Linked DNA regions of Callithrix jacchus. Each later gene encodes a partner of the first gene's protein in a complex. Links are inferred from orthologs where the notes say so. Each region holds a gene or a part of one and is shown on either strand. Other genes may lie near its edges. The genes, in order: SIRT5 and PRDX1.

Evidence for each region.
Region 2: the proteins of SIRT5 (region 1) and PRDX1 are in contact, whole or in part, in a crystal structure (PDB 8Z54), measured with the Homo sapiens proteins. The link is inferred for Callithrix jacchus from reciprocal best matches to the Homo sapiens genes SIRT5 and PRDX1. Residues at the interface, in NP_001363727.1 of Homo sapiens: Ala86, Tyr102, Arg105, Gln140, Ile142, His158, Val220, Val221, Trp222, Phe223, Gly224, Glu225, Asn226, Leu227, Leu232, Val253, Val254, Tyr255, Pro256; in NP_001189360.1 of Homo sapiens: Phe195, Ser196, Lys197, Gln198.

Annotation. Positions count from the first base shown.
Region 1 is NC_133505.1:17,076,466-17,086,556, forward strand, and holds part of SIRT5 (NAD-dependent protein deacylase sirtuin-5, mitochondrial), read right to left. Parts: intron 9,668-10,091; 5' UTR 9,633-9,667; coding exon 9,518-9,632; intron 6,008-9,517; coding exon 5,874-6,007; intron 2,092-5,873; coding exon 1,866-2,091; intron 1-1,865. UniProt on the Homo sapiens protein: NAD-dependent lysine demalonylase, desuccinylase and deglutarylase that specifically removes malonyl, succinyl and glutaryl groups on target proteins.
Region 2 is NC_133508.1:82,243,912-82,254,615, reverse strand, and holds the start of PRDX1 (peroxiredoxin-1), read left to right. Parts: upstream 1-4,721; 5' UTR 4,722-4,806; intron 4,807-4,946; exon of another isoform or gene 4,947-5,229; intron 5,230-6,976; 5' UTR 6,977-6,987; coding exon 6,988-7,093; intron 7,094-10,704. UniProt on the Homo sapiens protein: Thiol-specific peroxidase that catalyzes the reduction of hydrogen peroxide and organic hydroperoxides to water and alcohols, respectively.

The DNA.
Region 1 (10,091 bases):
TCACTCAGAAGAGCTAGATAATGAGAAATATTTGGACCATGCTCATGCTTTATGTATGCCTGGAAAGATAAAATTTCTAAAGAAGGTGTCTCAGTTTTAATAAGCTCTTTCTCTAAGTATAAAATAACAATTCTAAGGAATAATAACAGTATATCATGGTTTAGGCAGATTATATTCTAAGTGCCACATTAAAAACATGATGCATCTTAAAAAAAAACCTTCATCAGACAGAAGATGCCACTGATTTTTTTTTAACCTAGGTTGGAAGAGAGTTCTCATCTTTTGAAACTAAAAAAAAAAAGTCCTAACACATATATATGTATGATCTTATTTAACCTTCACAACGATTCTGTAAAATAGGCATTGTCATCTCCATTTTATGCCGATGACTAGCCCACATTCTGACATTGCAGGGAAATGAGCAGAGGCATGTGGAAAGCGGCTCAGACCCAGCAGATGCAGGTACCGAAAAGTTGTTCGGTTAATAGGTGGCTGACTGTTCCAGGCACACAAAAGAGAAACAGGGTCGAAGTGAGTAGTGTCTCCCTGTCTTTATCAGGGTGACCTAAGTAAAAGGAGGTAGCTTCACCACACACACCCAAAATCAAACACCCCCACTGGTGCCCTGCCTCTGGAAATTCTACACTTAGAAATGCATTCTTGGCTGGCGCAGTGGCTCACGCCTATAATCCCAAAACTTCAGGAGGCTGAGGACAGAGGATTACTTGAGGCCAAGAATTCAAGACCAGTCTGGACAATATGGTGAGACACCATTCTACAAAAAAAATTTTTTTAATTAGCTGGGCATAGTGGCATGGGCCTGTGGTCCCAGCTACTCTGGAGGCTGAGGTGGGAGGATCCCTTGAGACCATGAGTTCAAGGCAGCAATGAGCTATGATCAGGCTACTGCACCCCAGCCTGGGCAAGAATGAAACCCCCATCTCAAAAAAAAATTAAGAGAAATAAATTCTTAAAATATAAGAAATGCATTCCTTGGATTTGAATGCAGACTCTTTAAATGCAAGTGGCTTTGGGAGAAACCCTAGTTTGCCCATTATGACCGTGGAAGAATGGATGTATTAGATTTAGGGTGACAGCAAAGAAGGGAGGAGCCAAAAGACAGAGTGAAGAGATGAGGGGCCACCCAGGACAGAGGAAGGAGGCCACAGGGACCCAAGACAAACTCCACTGACATCACAGGCTAGGTGGGGTTGGTGCAGTACCTGGTACTGAGCTGGCAGCTCCCTGAGGTTCCAGGCCGAGGCAGAAGCACAGTCTCAGTGGGGAGTGTCCACCGGGGCAAACAGAGAGGGAGAGGAGACCCCCAGATGCCATAGCCTGCCCCTGCCTGATCCTGCTCAAGCCCTGCCTGTCCAATGGGCCAGGCCTTCTGTTCCTCGGCTCAGTGAGGCCATTGTCTCACAGCACTGCACCCCTCTACAGAGGCAGGGGTCACACAGCTGTGCAGCCCAGCGTTCCTCCAGTGTAAAAGGCACTTCGGCCACCTGGGCTCATGGGAAAATGCAGATTCTGATTTTGTGGGTCCGATGGGGCCTGAGATTCTGCATTTCTAACAAGCTCTCAGGGGATGCCAAACGTTGCTGGCTCTCAGACCACACTGAGCAGTGAGGATGTAGGAACTGCCAAGTGAATAATGTCAGTGGGTCAGGGCTCCTCCCATGGCCAAAGGCAGCTGCCCAGGTGCCACAGGGCACTAACATGTCCCGGAAGGAAATGCCACAGCATCCTAAAGGACGAGATGGGTGTCCAGCAAGGAGGGAGGGAGGCCAACAGAGGTGATGCTGAAATGGCAGGATAGGTGTTCTAAAGCTGGTTCCCTGAACATGAGGCGGGGGGTACCTCACCATGGATCTCCAGAAGGTTTTTGGTGCCAGCCTTGCGGTGCAGTTCATCGATGTTCTGGGTGATGACCATGACTCGCCGGCCCTGCTTGCCCAGCCGGGCCTCACACTCTGCTATGGCACGGTGCCCGGCGTTGGGCTCCTTGCTCACCATGACCTCCCGCCGGTAGTGGTAGAACTCCCACACCCGGGACGGGTTGTGGGAAAAGGCCAGGGGAGTCGCCAGGTCCTGGGAGTGGGAGAGGAGATAGGAGTGAGGGAGGCAGAGGCAGCCAGGATGCTGAACCCTGGGCACAGGCCTTTCCTCCCTAAGGCAGAAACAAGCAGCATTGGGAGGGTGCAGGCTGGAGGTCGAAGCACTAGGTTCAAACAACATGGCATATGCCACGTGGCAGGGCCTGGGTACCAGCCTATGTCCCCATCCTGGGACTGCCCTGGGACCTTGGAGAAATCAGTTTCCTTAGTGACAAGGCAGGAAGAATGCAACCTATCCCATTCCCCCACACCAAGTAAGTTGTGAACATGAAGTAAAGTAACATGCAGGAAGGTATTTTGGGTCAAATCGCCTTTTTCATGGAGCTCTAAAATATGAAGTGGATCTCATTTTGACCTATACCCAGGAAAAACATAAAATGCAAAATGCCCATTGAGGTCTAATGACCATGGTTGAGAAACTCAGTTTTTATAACTATAGCTATGGCTCTACACACACACACAACTACACACATCTATACACATGCAACTATACACACGACTAAACATACATACACACAACGACATGCACAACTACACATATACAACTATACATACACACAACTACACACACAACTCAACATACATACGCACAACTACATACAACTCAACTTACATATACACAACTACACATACACAACTCAACATACAAACTACACACAACATACAACTAGACACATCTCAACATACACACTACACACACAACTAAACATGCATACAACACACACATAACTACACATATCTACATACACACACAACTGCATACACATACAACTAGACATACACACGACTAAACATATACATAACTACACACATAAACTAAACACACAAACTAAACACATCTACATATACACTGCACACACACAGCTAAATACACATGACTACACACATCTACAAACACAACTGCACACTACACACACTACACACATACACACAACTACATACACAAACTAAACACAAACTATACACATCTACATATACATTGCACACACACAGCTAAACACACATATACAACTACACAAACTACACACAGCTGCACACACAACTATATACAACTACACATACACACATACTAAACACATACACACAACTACACACATATAAACTATATGCACATGCAAGCAACTAAACATACGACAGAAACTAAACACACATAAAACTACACACATCTACATATACACTGCAGACACACAGCTAAACACCTCTATATACACACACAACTGCACGCACACAACTACACAAACTAAACATACACAGCTACACACATACATACTACATACACACAACTAAACATACACACAGCTACACACACAACTATACATACATACACACAACTAAACATACACACAGCTACACACACAACTATACACACATACACACAACTAAACATACACTCAGCTACACACACTACACATCTACATACACACACAACTGCACACACACAACTAAACACACATACATCTACATACAACTGCACACACACAACTAAATGTAAACACAACTACAAAAATCTACATACACACAACTGCACACACACAACTAAATGTAAACACAACTACAAAAATCTACATACACACAACTGCACACACAACTAAACATACACACACAACTATACATCTACATACACAAATAAGTGTACACATACAACTAAACACACACAACTAAACATACACAAAACTATATACATCTACACAAACAAGTGCACATACAACTAGACAGATACATCTAAACACACAATTACACAACATACAACTAAACATACACAGCTACATATATCTGTTAATACATACACAACTACACACATCTACATGCATACACAACTATACATACATGCAACTATACACACAACTAAACACACACACAACTACACATAAAAAGTGTATATTATATATAAACAGAACAGATAAAATACATATACTTCAGATATGGTTCTAGGAGAGACAAACCTCCTTTCTCAAAAAGGAGCCGAGTAGAGGTTGAGCTGGGAGCTGGCAGGGAAAGGCATAGGGAACTTGCAGCAAGGACTGAAACGTTGTTTCTTGACAGTGGAGGTGGGGTGTTATATGAGTGCATGCACCTGTCAAAACTCATCAAACACAATGCACACAGGTGCATTTTATTCTAAGGAAATTCTGCCTCAATAATAATTTTTAAAAGAAGCATGGCTTCTCTATCAAGGAGACGCTTCCTACACTGAACACGTGTGCATTTCATTCTACTGTAAAGGCCCCTCTGCTTGGAGGCAATGTCAGCCTTTGCCACATGAGGGGCTTGCTCTCCATGCAGAACACACAGCCTGGAGTAGTTTATAGGTGGCACACGAACATGTCCACAGGTGTCCTTGGAAGGAGGTTGGAGTCAAATACATTCTGTCTACTTCTATGCTTTGCCCACAAACTCTGAGCTTTTTTGGACACAACTAAGCGCCCCTCTTCCAAGCTCCTCCCACACCCTCTGACCTCCCACCCTCTGCTGCTAATCAAGGGACTTCCCTGTGGTTCCTCTTTCTTGCTGGCCCCTAAAGTTCTCTGCTCTCTTTTCTCCCCCACTTCACCTTTAAGGTAACAACCCCCACCCTTCACCTAGAGGGCAGAAGGCAGGAGGCAAAACACCCAAACACCTGCCAGCCTCGGCTGTTCAGAAGAAGGAAGGGGCAGGTTCATGAACTCTGCATTCAGTGAGAAATAAGCTACTAACCCTGGAAGACATTTATTTATTCCTGCTTTCATTCAACCAACGAAAACCTATTAAGCACCTATAATGTGCCAGAGTTCTGGAAACTGGAGACAGTGCAATGAATAAAACAAACAGAGGCCTGGTATGGTGGCTCACGCCTGTAATCCCAGCACTTTGGGAGCCCGAGCAGGCAGATCACCTAAGGTCAGGAGTTCGAGACCAGCCTGGCCAATGTGGTGAAACCCCATCTCTACTAAAAATACAAAAATTAGTGGAGTGTGGCAGTGCATGCCTGTAACCCCAGCTACTAGGGAGGCTGAGGCAGGAGAATCACTTGAACCTGGGAGGTGGAGATTGTAGTGAGCTGAGATCATGCCACTGTACTCCAGCCTGGGCAACAAGCAAAACTCCATCTCAGAAACGAACAAATAAACAATTCCTTGTCCTCCAAAACTAGGATTTCCTGAGCCAGTGGGATGGGAGAGCACAGACTACAAAGGGCCATGAGGGAATGTTCTGGAGGGATAGAAATGTTCTACATTCTGATTATGGTGCTGGCTATACAACTATGTCCATTTGTTAAAACTTACTAAATTGTACACTTAAAATTGGTGACTTTTACTTTATGTATATTAGATCTAAAAAAATTGAATTTAAAAAATCCACACCATCACAGAGCTTACATTCTGAAGGCTTTCCTATAGATTTTTGAATATCGAACCCTAATCTTTCAATAATCAACATTAGTTTTAATTTTGTCATACGATAAGTGCAGTAACTTTAGGAAAGTAATGAAAGATGCTAACCGTGGTTTTCCGATTTCACTTTAACACAACTATTAGGAGAAACTGATATCTGAATTAATGCAATCTATACATATCTAAAAAGGAGAGTAGCAGCCTTACTTAAATTTTATCTTAATCACAGGAACTTTGTGTTTATGCCAAAAGCAATGGGACAATAGGGTCATAGTTAACTTCCAAAACATTTCCCCAGGTTTCAGGGCTCGGTATAGGATCTGAGTCAAACACTGTTACAGTTTCATCAGAGAGAGGCTTTCAGTGTTCTGGAAACATTACAAACCTGGGCTTGCCATTTTCTCCAATAACCTCCAGCTCCTCTGAAAGTCGGAACGCCACTTTCCACACTAACACCGGCCCCTGAGATGATGACTATGTGCTTTGATTTTGCAAAACACTTCCGAAAATCTGCCATACCTAAACAGAATAAAATCTTCATCAGTCCAGTGTACCATTTGCACATATGTATCCCATATCAATTGTCTATATCTTGAAACTTGACCCAGTGTGAAATCATACTTTAGGATAAACAAACATCAATTCCTGTACCATAAAGACACCATCCTATGAAGGCCTGCTGGGTGAGTGTACAATATTTTAAAGAAGCAGAGGCTTTGGGCACACAAAGCTGGCTTTGCATCTCAGTTCAGCCTCCCAACTAAATGTGTGATCTTATGCAAATTACTTAGCTTTTTCCATTCTCAGTTTCTTTGGCTCTTTGAGGTGCATAGTAGTGCGTTCCCTAGAGCAGGGATTTTACAAAGATTAAAAAAAGCCTAGTAGAAGCTGGGCATGGTGGCTCACACCTGTAATCCCAGCACTTTGGGAGGGAGAGGCAGGTGGATCACAAGGTCAGGAGTTTGAGACCAGCCTGGCCAACATGATGAAACCCCATCTCTACTAAAAACGCAAAAATTAGCTGGGCATGGTGGTGGGCACCTGTAATCCCAGCTACTTGGAAGGCTGAGGCAGGAGAATAGCTTGAACCAAGGAGGCGGAGGTTGCAGTGAGCCAAGACTGTGCCACTGCATTCCAACCTGGGCGACAGAGCGAGACTCCATTAAAAAAAAAAAAAAAAAAGCCTAGTGGGAAGGAATCCATCTTCCTTCATAAAAGTAAAAACAGGCCTGTATGTTTGTGTGAGTGCTGAGTTGAGGCCCACTGTACCCCAAAGCCTACCCTTCCTCCCTAAATTCACCTTCCCTTTGGGGATCTTGCTACTTTCAGCTTCCCTCAGCACAGCGACTGAAGGAGAGGACAAGGGCCTTATTTGAGGACACATGATCTTCTTGACAACTCAAATAAGAGCCAAACTTTTCAACAGGACACTGCCAGAGACTTGGGAACTGAGCAAAGGGAACTGAGCACAGAGAGTAACACTAGAGGAAGTAACTGTGGATACAGACCAGGGCTCACCCTCCTGTCCTAGAACTCCAGGCAGCCTCCTGCCTGAACACAGACACACAGGGGCAGCAGCTACGATGGCAAGGGCTCCCTGCACCCCAAGTGCTATGCCAAACACTTTACATGGATCACAAGCTGGGATGTTTTCCCTGAAACAACTCTCCTCATGCCAAAAGAAGAAGCAGGAGCCAGACTTGAACTCAGGATGGGGGAGCTGCTACTGTTTCTATTGGGCAGCAGAAACTGGGAAAAGGCTGGAACACAGCTTGTCTCCCCTTTTCTCCCAGACACTACAGCTCTGCAGGCCCTTGTAAGTTAGATAAGCACTATGGCCCTGGAAAGCCAGAATTAAGGGGTATAGCACTGAACATAAGCTGCCAGGAGAAGAGAGAGCCCCTTTTCTGCCCTACCCCTGGAGAAATGAGTGCTGTACCTCATTGCCTGCTGCAGTCCCAAGACACTGAAGCAGGGAATGCCCCGCCCTGGATATGGAGATCTTCCAAGGACGGCCAAGCTGTGTTGAAGCACTAAGGGTTCCAGCAAACATGGAACTGCATTTCTCGGTTGACTAAGCTGGCTTCCTGGCCTTCCTCTCTTGAAAGAATGGCAACCAAGGCTACCCCTTGTACTGAACGAATGAGGGGACGCTAACCCTCCCCTGAAAGATGGAACCAGTGACAGGCAGGAAGCCTGCTAGAAGGAAGATAGTGGGATAGGGGCTTGGAGACAGTGAACTTGAAAATTAAAGGGAACGTGGCCTCATTTTGTATCCCAGCCATAAGGGGCATCCTACTGGTTTTCACGTATGGTTGAGTCCCTCTAAGCAGGGATGGGACTTCCTGGTCCTTCGAAGCCCAGACCCACACACTCTGCCCAGCTCAGGATAGAGACTGTTAATAAGGGCTCAGCCCTTCCTCCCCTTTCCTTATTCTCTTCCCTACCATGGACTCCTGGTAAAAATGAACTCAGAGGAAGAGTAGGCTTTTTCCTCTTGGGCTCCATTCATGTTTTGGCAGCACAAGGCAGAGACAAATTAGGACAGTCACAACACGCCATTCTCATGAGGTGTGACGAACCCAACTACCCCGGCAATCATGCTAAAGCCCTACCTGAACTCACATCCCTTCCCGAGTAGCGTGTTACCTATCAGCAGACAGATAAGGCCTACGACAGGCAGACTAATGTTGTCCAGACGGGAAGCATTTGGAAAAATTACAAACTTGACCTGGTGGATTCCAGTTTCTAATCTGATATAATCTCTTGAAAGAACAAGATGCTTAATAAAAAACATAACATACTTTCCTAGGTTCAACCCATAGGAACATCCTTAAGGACTTCAAAATCTACCCCTAAAACTCCCTCTAGTCCTAAAGGTCCTTTCTATCCCAAATAGAAACTGTCATCCTCCTGATGAATATATTTCTAGGTCAGAGTGACTTCTTTTAAGACAGAGTTTTGCTCTTGGTGCTGTGTGGAGTGCAATGGCGCAATCTCAGCTCACCATAACCTCTGCCTCCTGGGTTCAGGCGATTCTGCTGCCTCAGCTTCCCGAAAGGCTGGGATCACAGGCATGTGCCACCATGCCTGCCTAATTTTGTATTTTTAGTAGAGACAGAGTTTCTCCACGTTGGTCAGGCTGGCCAGAGTGACTTCTATCAAGGTACCCCTTAAAGTTACTTTTAGAAACAAATGTTAAGAGTCAACCTATGTTTCGTTCTTAGAAAACAGGATGTAAAATACAGTAATGTTAACGTGGTATAAAATCTTAAAAAGAAAAAGATATTTCCCAATGGCTAAAGGAAAATACGCCAGCATGTTCTGTGGTTTCAAATGTCAGCGGCCCACTTTTAGCCGAGGTCAGGCACACGCTTCTGCACCCCACCACAGACGCTAGCACCCTGCTAGAATGGAGGTGCAGTGGAACGGGATCTTTCGGTTCTTTTCCACTCCTGGGGCAAAATGGAAGCAGGAGTTATTAATCCTGAGCAGAAAAGTTATCCAAAAGTTGAAAAGGAAGCAAAAAGAATTCAGCTTGGCCTTTCAGTTTCATTCTGAAGCATTGTTCAACAGGCCCACCTAAGAATCGCCGAATTATAAACATTTGTGAGACTTTATATTCTTGTAGACTTGGGGTGCAGATAGGTTAATCTGGAGGTTTCTCCCAGGGAGAGCTACAAAATATTTCTGTCCAGGAGAAAATTTAATCTCACACGGCCCTATAGGACAATCACCAATTTTCCTCCCCTGCAGAGAGATAAGGACTTTAAAGTACAAAACATGTGTCAAAAGCTTAAATGCAAATATTCTGGCAGAAGCAACAAAATGTTCTCCATGGACTTAATGTGAGTATTAAGAAGACCGGCTCTGAAGGCGCCCTAGAAGGGGTGCCCTAAAAGAGAAGAGGACAGGGTGGCTTTCTCCAAAATCTTGCCCAACACCTAATTTGACACTGACATACAAGTGTAGGACTTTTGGGTACTTCACATTCGGCCGCAGGTGAGGCAATGGGTAAGAATGACTTACTTGAACTTGGCCGAGCCATTTTCAGGCAAATCCGGTTTTGTGCGGAGGCTTCAGGCTTCAGGCCACAGTACAGCTGGGAAATCAATCGACTTGGGACAATCTGGAGAGGTCGCATCAGGGTTTGTTTGTAGTTCTAATGCTTGAGGTAGGCTTTAGAAAAATCACAAAAACAAATGTTATAGAAACAATCAGCAAACATTTTTAGATATAGAAATATTTATAAATATATTTTTTCTATATTATAGAAACACACTGTGTATATTATACACACATGCCACACATACATGAACATCCTTTAAAAAAAATCTTTAGTAACAAATCATGGAAAACTGGCTGTTTTCCATCTGTGTTCTCAAATGCTCCCAGGATGTGCAGAGGTACCTTGGAGCAGTGCTTCTCAAAATGTGTTCCCTAGACCAGCAGCATCGGCATCACCTGAAATCTTGTTAGAAATGCAACCTCTGGTTCCACCCCAGACTTGCCGAATCAGAAACGCTGAGGGTGGACCCCATCATCTATTTCCAGGTGCTTCTAGTAACTACTCAAGTTTGAGGACCACTAAAATGCACATGAA
Region 2 (10,704 bases), on another chromosome or scaffold:
TGTTGGGATTACAGGCTTGAGCCACCGCGCCCTGCCTAATTTTTTATATATTTTAGTAGAGATGGGATTTCTTCATGTCAGTCAGGCTGGTCTCGAACTCTCAACTTCAGGTGATCAGTCCATGTCGGCCTCCCAAAATGTTCAGATTACAGGTGTGAGCCACCATGCCCGGCCTCTTTTGGTTCTTAAATGAGATAAATAAACTCAAGTGCTCAGCCCAGTGCCTGGCACATGGTGGATAAAATAGGTGACAATTTTCTTTGGGCTGAAGTATGACTGTGTGCACTATGTATTGGTTTAGTCTGCCCGTAGCCTCCATTATTAAGCTCTGAACTTTTATGCTGCCTCTGCTCCTTCAAGAAAGAAAGGAGAGTCTCTCTGAGCCTAAACTGGCTTGGGTGGCTGCCTGATAAAAAATAATGAAAGTGATATAAAAGTTAAAAAAAATGCATAAGCAGTAAGGACAGAAATATAAAACAAAAACAAAAACAAAACAAAACAAACAAAAAAAGTTAAAAAACAAAAAAGGAATAATGCCAAATAACTATTCAGCCTCAAGCAAAGAAGGAAAAAGCAAATAAATCATTACTATGCAAGGTAGTATGATAAATAACAAAAATTGAGACGCTCAGTCATCATGACATAGCACTTTCTCATTCATTATCCTACTATAAAAGCCAAGGGAGTTAGTGGGGGAAGTGGGGACAGAGAGAGGAACGGAATACTATTGATTGAATGCCCACTGACTGAGCTCCTATTTTACATCAGATGTTGTGTTGTGACTTGGGGACACAGAGACAGATGTGACCCACATCCTACTCTCCAGAAAGTCACTCTAGCAGGCAGAGGCAGAGATATAAAAATAAAATTGCTTAAAATATATTTTTGGGCCAGGCATGGTGGTTCATGCCTGTAATCCCAGCACTTTGGGAGACTGAGGCAGACGGATTACAAGGTCAAGAGACTGAGATCACCTTGGCCAACATGGTGAAACTCTGTCTCTACTAAGAATACGAAAATTAGGGCCGGGCGCGGTGGCTCAAGCCTGTAATCACAGCACATTGGGAGGCCGAGGCGGGTGGATCACGAGGTCAAGAGATTGAGACCATCCTGGTCAACATGGTGAAACCCCGCCTCTACTAAAAATACAAAAAATTAGCTGGGCATGGTGGCGTGTGCCTGTAATCCCAGCTACTCAGGAGGCTGAGGCAGGGGAATTGCCTGAACCCAGGAGGCGGAGGTTGCAGTGGGCCGAGATCGCGCCATTGCACTCCAGCCTGGGTAACAAGAGAGAAACTCCGTCTCAAAAAAAAAAAAGGAATAAGAAAATTAGTTGGGTGTGGTGGCACGCACCTGTAATCCCAGCTATTCAGAAGGCTGAGGCAGGAGAATCACTTGAACCTGGGAGGCAGAGGTTGCAGTGAGCTGAGATCATGCCATTGCACTCCAGCCTGGTGACAGAGTGAGACTCCATCTCAAAAAAAAAAAAAAAAAAAAAAAAAAAAATATATATATGGCTATTGTTTGGACACAAAGAAGGGGAATTGTAAATCCTGGGAATGAGTGAAGGTAAGACACACTTTGAGAGGAAGTAATGCTTCAGCTGACTCTTGAAAGATGTTTTCTCTAGGCCAGTTAGGAGGGAAAGAGTTTTCCAGGTTCGAACAAAAGTCTGAAGGCGGCCGGGAACGGTGGCTGGCTCCTGTAATCCCAGCACTTTGGGAGGCTGAGGTGGGTTGATCACCTGAGGTCAGGAGTTTGAGACCAGCCTGGCTAACATGGTGAAATCCCATCTCTACTAAAGATAGAAAAAATTAGCCAGGCGTGGTAACGCATACCTATAGTCCTAGCTGTCCTAGCTACTCAGGAGGCTGAGGCAGGAGAATCACTTGAACCTGGGAGGCAGAGGCTCCAATGAGCTGAAATCTTGCTGTTGCACTCCAGCCTGGGAGCACAAACGAAACTCTGTCTCAAAAAAAAAAAAAAAAAAAAAAAGTCTGAAGGCTTGAAACAGCTACGCTGTGTTCTGGGTGTTATAAGTGAGAGGAATGGAAGAGTTACAGTAACTGCTAACATTACTAATTTATAAGAACTAAGAACTGTACTGAACTACATAGATAATCACAATGAAGTATGAATATTATTCCCATTTTACAGGTGAGAAAAGTAAGGTTTGATGGGTTTAAGAATTGCCCAAGGTCATACCTAAAATGACAGCGAGGAATTTTTTTTTTTTTTTTTTTGAGACAGAGTCACTCTGTCACCCAGGGTGGAATGCATTACGCAGCTCACTGCAACCTCCGCCTCCTGGGTTCAAGCGATTCTCCTGCCTCAGCCTCCAGAGTAGCTGGGATTACAGGTGCCTGCCACTATGCCCAGCTAAATTTTTTTTGTATTTTTAGTACAGACGGGGTTTCACCATGTTGGTCTCGAACTCCTGACCTCAGGTGATCCTCCCACCTCCCAAAGTGTTGGGATTATAGGTGTGAGCCACCGTGCCTGGCCAGTGAGGAGTTTTAACTCAGTAAATTGACTACAGAGCCCCAGCTTTTATTTATTTATTTATTTATTTGAGACAGAGTCTCACTCTGTTGCCCAGGCTGGAGTGCAGTGGTGTGATCTGGGCTCACTGCAACCTCTGCTTCCCAGGTTCAAGTGATTCTTTTGCTTCAGCCTCCTGATTAGCTGGGATTACAGGCACCCACCATCATGCCCAGCTAATTTTTGGTTTGTAGAGACAGGGTTTCACCACGTTGGCCAGGCTGGTCTCGAACTCCTGATCTCAGTAATCCGCTTGCCTCAGGCCTCCCAAAGTGCTGGGATTACAAGAGTGAGCCACCGCGCCTGGCCCTTATCCCCAGCTTTTAAACCACAAATAAAAGTGACATGATCAAATTTCAGAAGGATTTCCTTTAGCTGCAGTGGAAGGGATGGAGAAGAGAGAGCATTAATTGAAATGAATGACTAAACTGACTAAACTACGTCAGAGACACTTCTGTGACTGTTTCTTCCCAAGTGGTTCTCAGGAGGTTTTTAGTATTTATACATTTTCCTTGAAAAGTGGGGGTGGGAGTGAGACGAAGACTTTAGCTAATTCTAAGCAAATCTACATTTTTACATAAGATAAGGTGAACGGGCCAGGCACGGTGGCTCAAGCCTATAATCCCAGCACTTTGGGAGGCTGAGGCGGGTGGATCACGAGGTCAAGAGATTGAGACCATCCTGGTCAACATGGTCAAACCCCGTTTCTACTAAAAATACAAAAATTAGCTGGGCATGGTGGTGCGCGCCTGTATTCCCAGCTACTCGGGAGGCTGAGGCAGGAGAATTGCTTGAACCCAGGAGGCGGAGGTTACGGTGAGCCGAGATTGTGCCATTGCAGTCCAGCCTGGGTAACAAGACCGAAACTCTGTCTCAGAAAAAGTTAAGGTGAACGTTTGAGGAAAAAGGGAATACAGGAAAAAAAACATGTGGTGGACTCAGGGAGGGGTGAGGGAATCTGCACCTGAAAAGATTATCTAGTAGTCAACATTTATGGAATTTCTGGAATGGAGGCCAGCTGCGGTGGCTCACGCCTTTAATTCCAGCACTTTGGGAGGCTAAGGCGAGCTGTTGGAGACCAGGCTTTGGAAACCAGCGTATCCAACAAGGTAAAATTCCATCTCTTCTAAAAATACCAAAAATTAGCTGGGCGTGGTGACGGGTGCCTGTAGTTTCAGCTACTCCGGAGGCTAGGCGGAAGAATCGCTTGAGCCTGGCATGCGGAGGTTGCAGTAAGCCAACACCCGGTCACTGCACTGCAGCCTGGGAGACAAAGTGAGTGAGACTCCGTCTCAAAAAAAAAAAAAAAAAAAGCGTAATAGAACAAACTTTAGTTTTAGGAACTAGACTTTAGATTGAAGATCTAGTTACAGTTGACACGTCCTTGTTTTATGGGAGGCTATAACGGTTTCCAGGGTAGCAAACAATTATGAATGATTTTGTGAGTGTGTTTGTCGGGGGTAGTCATCAGGAAATGTCTGAGGCCTTTTGCCTAACCGTGTGTGATGGATGGCTAATGTGTGATGTTTTGACCCAAGATTGTAAAGTCAGTTATTCATCCGTAGAGAGGATGGTTGTGTACCTGAGTCAGCCTCCCAAGCTGAACTTTCACAAGTTTAGGTGTCCTCAGACTTTATTTTCCTTTACAACAGAAAGCAGCAACCCTGTAATCAAAGTGAACAGTGAAGGAAACGATGTAAGCTATGAGGGTTACTCAGGAGTTACTCAGGATCTGAGGTGGGGTTAAGGTTGCGAATTTAAGAAATATTTGGATATACAGTTCTCAGGGCTTGGTATGGTTCGACGTGGTCCTCCGTGGGCAGCAGCTAGGAGGCTTACTCCGGGTTGGGCATTGAGGGTACAGTGCGCAGTGGTCCTGGAAGTAAAGAGAATCCTGGTTTTCCGCAGAGATCTAGGATCAACCTAAACGTTTGGGTTTGGGAGCGGCCACAAGGGTGCCTCACTCCAACCTCTGCAGTCCGCAGTAGGGAGGGGGATTAGCATTTCCGCGCCCGCCCCCAAGAGGGAAAGCGCCGAGTCATTCTGGCGGGGCGCGCCAGGGTGGGGCGGGGTTCCTGCCACATCCCCCTCCCCTCTCTCCTCCTCCTGCACCCCCGGCCTGCTTCGACTCTCGCGAGAGCCGTAATAGCTATAAAGGCTGCGCCTCGAGCGAGTTTTGCGCGTCCTCTTTCTGTCCGGTGGTTTGTTCTCTGAGGCTTGTGTCAGGACTGGTGAGTGTGAGCGGCGCGGCCTTAGCTGAGCGAGGTGCGGCGCGTACTTGCCTTTTGCCTCTTCCTCCTCCTGTCCGGGGCCCGTCTGCGCTCGGCTTGGGGTTCTGTGGTGCTTGAGGGAGCGGGGGGAGGCCCGGCGCCCGAGACTGCCTGAGCGCTACGTGCACCCCTCACGTGGCCCCCCCGCGTAGGTGGGGGCACCTGGTTGAATCCCAAGTCTAGCGTGGATGCTAGTCGAGTCTTACCCCGGCAACCCGAGCACGTGAAGCGGCATCGGGGCGGGCTGGTGGTGGGGTCTCTAACTCTAGCTTCCTGCTGGGCTGGGTGGGTTCGGGAAGGTTCTGGAATGGACCTGTGTCCGGACTAGTGGCTGTAGAAAACAGCCTATACTTGTCTATCTTGTGATAGGGTAAAGGCTGTTCCGGGTCCTGAGCCTTGACTAGATTCGGAGTTTCGGGTACTTTCCCCATCTTTATTTTCTTGTACGTGGAATGGAATTAAGAGCCCAAATGCCCCCGCTGAAGCACTCTTTCTGCTGGTGCTTTCCCTGTGTTGGGTGTGATAGAGCCGGGTACCTGGAGTTTAGGGGTGTGGCCCTCGGCACTGAGCAGATCCCCTGAAGGGACCCGGCGCCGCCCGAAAACCCAGCAGCCTTTACCCAGAATTGGTTGGGTTTTGGACTTTCGGGCCAACTGGGAATGTAGGTTTGGACAAGAGGCCATTTATAGGGTCACCAAGTTGCAGTATGCCTTAGTTTTTTGTTTTTGTGTTTTGTCGTTAAAGGTTTTAAGGACTTTTTTTTTTTTAGGCGACTTTTAAAAAAGCAGTAAAAAGTTGGCTAAGATCCTTGCTCACAGAGTTTCTTTTGGTTGTGGTATTATGAACCAAGAACTTTGGGACTTTGAGAAAACTTTGAGACCGAGGCTTAGTGGGTTAAATCTCTGGTTTTTTTTTTTTTTTTTTCTTTTTTTGAGACGGAATTTCGCTCTGTCAGCCAGGCTGGAGTGCAGTGGTGCGATCTCGGCTCAGTGCAACCTCCGCCTCCCGGGTTCAAGCGATTCTCCTGCCCGAGCCTCCCGAGTAGCCAGGATTACAGGCTTGAGACGGGGCTCCCGGCCAAGATCTCGATACTCATCTTGGTGTTGACCTGGGTGAATCCAGCGCAACATTTCTTTTCAGCAGTAAATTTGTTCTTGTTCTTATTTTCGTCCTGTGATATTAGACCCGAAGTCAGAAACCCGTTTGTGAAGGGACTTCTCGGGTGTACACAATACCTAAAGATTTGAAATTGAGCAGATGCCAATATCTTGGTCTTGTCTCTTTTTTCTTTGTGTTTTTCTTTCTTTTCTTTTGAGATCGTGTGTTGCTCTGTCGCCTAGACTGAACTGTAGTGGCGCGATCTTGGCTTACCCTCGCGGTGGCTCGCTTCTGTAATCCCAGCACTTTGGGAGGCCGATGCGAGTGGATCACTTGAGGTTGGGAGTTCGAGACCAGCCTGAGCAACATGGAGAAACCCTGTCTCTACTAAAAATACAAAAAAATTAGCCGGTTGTGGTGGCGCATGCCTGTAATCTCAGCCACTCAGGAGTCTGAGGCAGGAGAATCGCTTGTACCCTGGAGGGCAGAGGTTGCCGTGAGCCGAGATTGTGTCATTGCATTCCAGCCTGGGCAACAAGAGCGAAACTACGTCTCAAAAAAAAAGTTGTATTGGCTGTAGGTGTGTGCTGTTTTAGACACAGCTACCTGGAGAAAAGTCAAATATGCTTCTGACGTTATGAAGGCTGGTGGAGGCCCAGTAATGGGAAAGGTCAACATGATTTTTTCCAGGCCAAACAAAAGCGTTTGTGGCATTGTGCATTTGGATTCTGGTTTGAGAGTCTTCACCTGCTCCATCTCTGCTTCTGTATAATGAGTAAGATGCCTGCACAAATCATGATTCAGAAAGAGTGAGAGGTGACTTCAGTATATGAAGAAATTGCCTTGCTGTTTTTAAATGAAAACAAAGGCCGAGATTCAGAGTCTTGTTTTGTTCCACAAGTTGGAAAGCTCAGATTGCTTGAGCTTCTTACTAATACAACATTTAACGTATTCAGGGACATACTGGACAATTCCTTGATTGTTCTACAGCTAAGTCTCTTAGTAGGTGCAGGCTGCCGGTTATCTAGAAAATTAAGGCTTGTTTCTAATTCATTTCTCTTTTCCAGCTGATAGGAAGATGTCTTCAGGAAATGCTAAAATTGGGCACCCTGCCCCCAACTTCAAAGCCACAGCTGTTATGCCAGATGGTCAGTTTAAAGATATCAGCCTGTCGGACTACAAAGGTAAAAGTAATTACACTGGGCTCATTGAGATGGAGTTATTTTATATTCTAGAAATGGCATGTTAGATCTGTGTCAGTGTTGTGTTTGACTGTAAAATGTTTTGTCTCCTAGGAATAAGTATTTTGGTTGTTGCCTTCATGTTGAAGTGAAGTGGTGATTAATCAAGTGATTACAGTGTATATATCCTAGGACCAGACCACTTCTGGAGAAACCACATGCTCCATTATGTTTGGACATACTAGTTCAGTTTTCTCTTGAGTATTCCTTGTCTTTTTATTTATTTTATTTTAATTTTTGAGACAGGGTTTCATTGCATCACCCCCCAGGCTGGAGTGCAGTGTAGCAGTCATGGCTCACTGAGGCCTCTGCCTCTCTGGGCTCAGCTGATCCTCCCACCTTAGCCTCTTGCATAGCTGGGACTGTAGGGGCATACCACCACGCCCGGCTAGTTTTTGCATTTTTTGTAGAGATGGGCATCATGTTGCCCAGGCTGGTCTCCACCTCCTGGGCTCAGGCCCTCTGCCTGCCCTAGTCTTTCAAAGTGCTGGGATTACAGGAGTGAGCCACTGCATTCCACTCTCCTCTGTTTTATTATTGGAGAAATTCTCATTATCTCATTATAAGAGATATTCTACATTTAAAGTCTTGAAGCTCACTCAAATCTTTGGAGCTGTGACACTGCTTGTAAAGCTTGTTTGGGTCACATATATATCACAGCTGTTAATATTAGACTGAGGGCTGGGCACTTTGCCTTGACTGTTTTGACCCCAGAGGAGAGTTGATGTTATAGATGGAACAACTCTTCTTTCTGTTGTCATAGTTTCATGCAGACACTTGGCAAGTTCTGTTGAGGCTCTCCGTTTGTCTTGTAGTTCCAGAGCAGCTGGATCTCCTGGGACAGTTGAGGATATAGATTCCTTAGAATGCAAACCTGAAACTCAGGTGTAAAGTGTCCTTTTCTCAGTGGTGTAGCATCAGGTTCTGGAGTTCGCTTTTGGTAAGAGCATTTGACTATTTTTCCTGAACATAATCACACTTAGTTGTTGGGGCTTTTCCTGGCAAAGAAGATTAAGTTGTACCATAGAGAGGTGACCTTGGCCCAGGAGTATAAGCAGGAAGTCTAGGAGGAGCTGCTTTCTGCCCTTCAGGGCTTGACCTGCTGAGGCCCCATGGTGCTTGTTAGGCAAAGCCCTGAGGAGTTGTTTAGATGAGTTAGGTTCCAGTGATACTGCACAATGGTAAATGTCAAAAAGGGCTGCTTGTTTGACTTGACTTTTTTGAGATGGAATTTTGCTCTTGTGGCACAGCCTATAGTACAGTGGTGTGATCTTGGCTGGTCTTGAACTCCTAACCTCAAGCAATCCTCCCATCTTGGCCTCCAAAAGTGCTGGGATGACAGCACCTGAGCCACATTGCCCGGCGTCCAAAAGTGCTGGGATGACAGCACCTGAGCCACATTGCCCAGCCTCCTTAGTTTTTTTTTTTTTTTTTTTTTTGACAGTTTCGCTCTTGTTACCCAGGCTGGAGTGCAATGGCGCCATCTCAGCTCACCACAACCTCTGCCTCCTGGGTTCAGGCAATTCTCCTGCCTCAGCCTCCTGAGTAGCTGGGATTACAGGCATGTGCCACCATGTCCAGCTAATTTTTTGTATTTTTAGTAGAGACGGGGTTTCACCATGTTGACCAGGATGGTCTTGATCTCTTGACCTCGTGATCCACCTGCCTTGGCCTCCCAAAGTGCTGGGATTACAGGCTTGGGCCACCGCGCCCAGCCCTAAGTTTTGTATTTTTAATAGACTAGTTTCACCATGTTGGTGAGGCTGGTCTTGAACTCTTGACCTCAGGTGATCCACCTGACAGCCTCCCAAAGTGATAGGATTACAGGCATGAGCCACCATGCCAGACTTAGCCACCACACCCAGCCTGTCTGACTTTCAAACATTGCTGCTCCCTGGAAATGAGGGAATGTTTGGAATTGTTTAAGTATTTAGGCCTGTTGGTTGTGGCTAGAAGGCTGCCTGGCCAGTTCGAAGAGCTATTTCAATGGTTAATCTGAGTGACTTCATTAAAATTGCAGCTAGAGGTTCTGTTACTCACTAATACTTTTGTCTTTTCTGTGTGTGTTTATGTCTATGTATTTTTTTTTTTTTTTTTTTTGAGACGGAGTTTCGCTCTTGCTACCCAGGCTGGAGTGCAATGGCGCGATCTCGGCTCACTGCAATCTCCGCCTCCTGGGTTCAGGCAATTCTCCTGCCTCAGCCTCCCGAGCAGCTGGGATTACAGGCATGCACCACCGTGCCCAGCTAATTTTTTGTAATTTTAGTAGAGACGGGGTTTCACCATGTTGACCAAGATGGTCTCGATCTGTTGACCTCATGATCCACCCGCCTCGGCCTCCCAAAGTGCTGGGATTACAGGCTTGAGCCACCGTGCCCGGCTGTATTTTTGTTTTGAGACAGTCTTGCTATGTTGCCCAGACTGGCCTCAAACTCGTGGCTCAAGGGATCCTCCCACCTGAGCCTCCTGAGTAGCTGGGACTATAGGCACACACCACTGTGCCTAGTTTAAAATTTTTCCTGTCTTGTCAGGCAGAGTAGGAACACACATATGATTACTTAAACCATACTTGTTCCATTACTATAGTTCATCGTGAGAGAAGTGCAAAGGCTCTGACTTCTTATTGGTCTTTTTTTTTTTTTTGAGATGGAGTTTCGCTCTTGTTACCCAGACTGGAGTGCAATGGCGCGATCTCGGCTCACCGCAACCTCCAACTCCTGGGTTCAGGCAATTCTCCTGCCTCAGCCTTCTGAGTAGCTGGGATTAAAGGCACGTGCCACTGTGCCCAGCTAATTTTTGTATTTTTAGTAGAGACGGGGTTTCACCTTGTTGACCAGGATGGTCTCGATCTCTTGACCTCGTGATCCACCCGCCTAGGCCTCCCAAAGTGCTGGGATTACAGGTGTTAGCCACTGTGCCCAGCCTCTTATTGGTCTTTTATCTCTACAGGAGAGGAGCTCTGCAGTTCAGCTTTTTCTGGGCACTGTTTGTTAAGCATTGGCATTAGGCCATGCAGTAGATAATTGTGTCCTTGCTTTTGCTGTCTTCTTTGGAGAACTTGGTGTTTATGCTTATTTTAACCCCTCAGAAAAGATCAAAATTAGTGTTTATTTTGTAGTTGGCAGCTAAGAACATGGAGGCAGGCAAATAAGTAATTGGATTGGAAGGAACTTTTTTTCATTCAGATCTTCCTACTGCAGTAGGTTCTTTTTTTTTTTTTTTGAGACGGAGTTTCACTGTTGTTACCCAGGCTGGAGTGCAATGGCGCGATCTCGGCTCACCGCAACCTCCGCCTCCTGGGTTCAAGCAATTCTCCTGCCTCAGCCTCCCGAGTAGCTGGGACTATACGTGCCCACCACCATGCCCAGCTACTTTTTGTATTTTTAGTAGAGACGGGGTTTCACCTTGTTGACCAGGATGGTCTTGATCTCTTGACCTCGTGATCCACCCTCCCCAGCCTTCCAAAGTGCTGGGATTATAGGCGTGAGCCACCGCTCCCCGCCCTACTGCAGTAGGTTCTAAAAGTAGCTACTTAGGAGGACATCCATATTGAG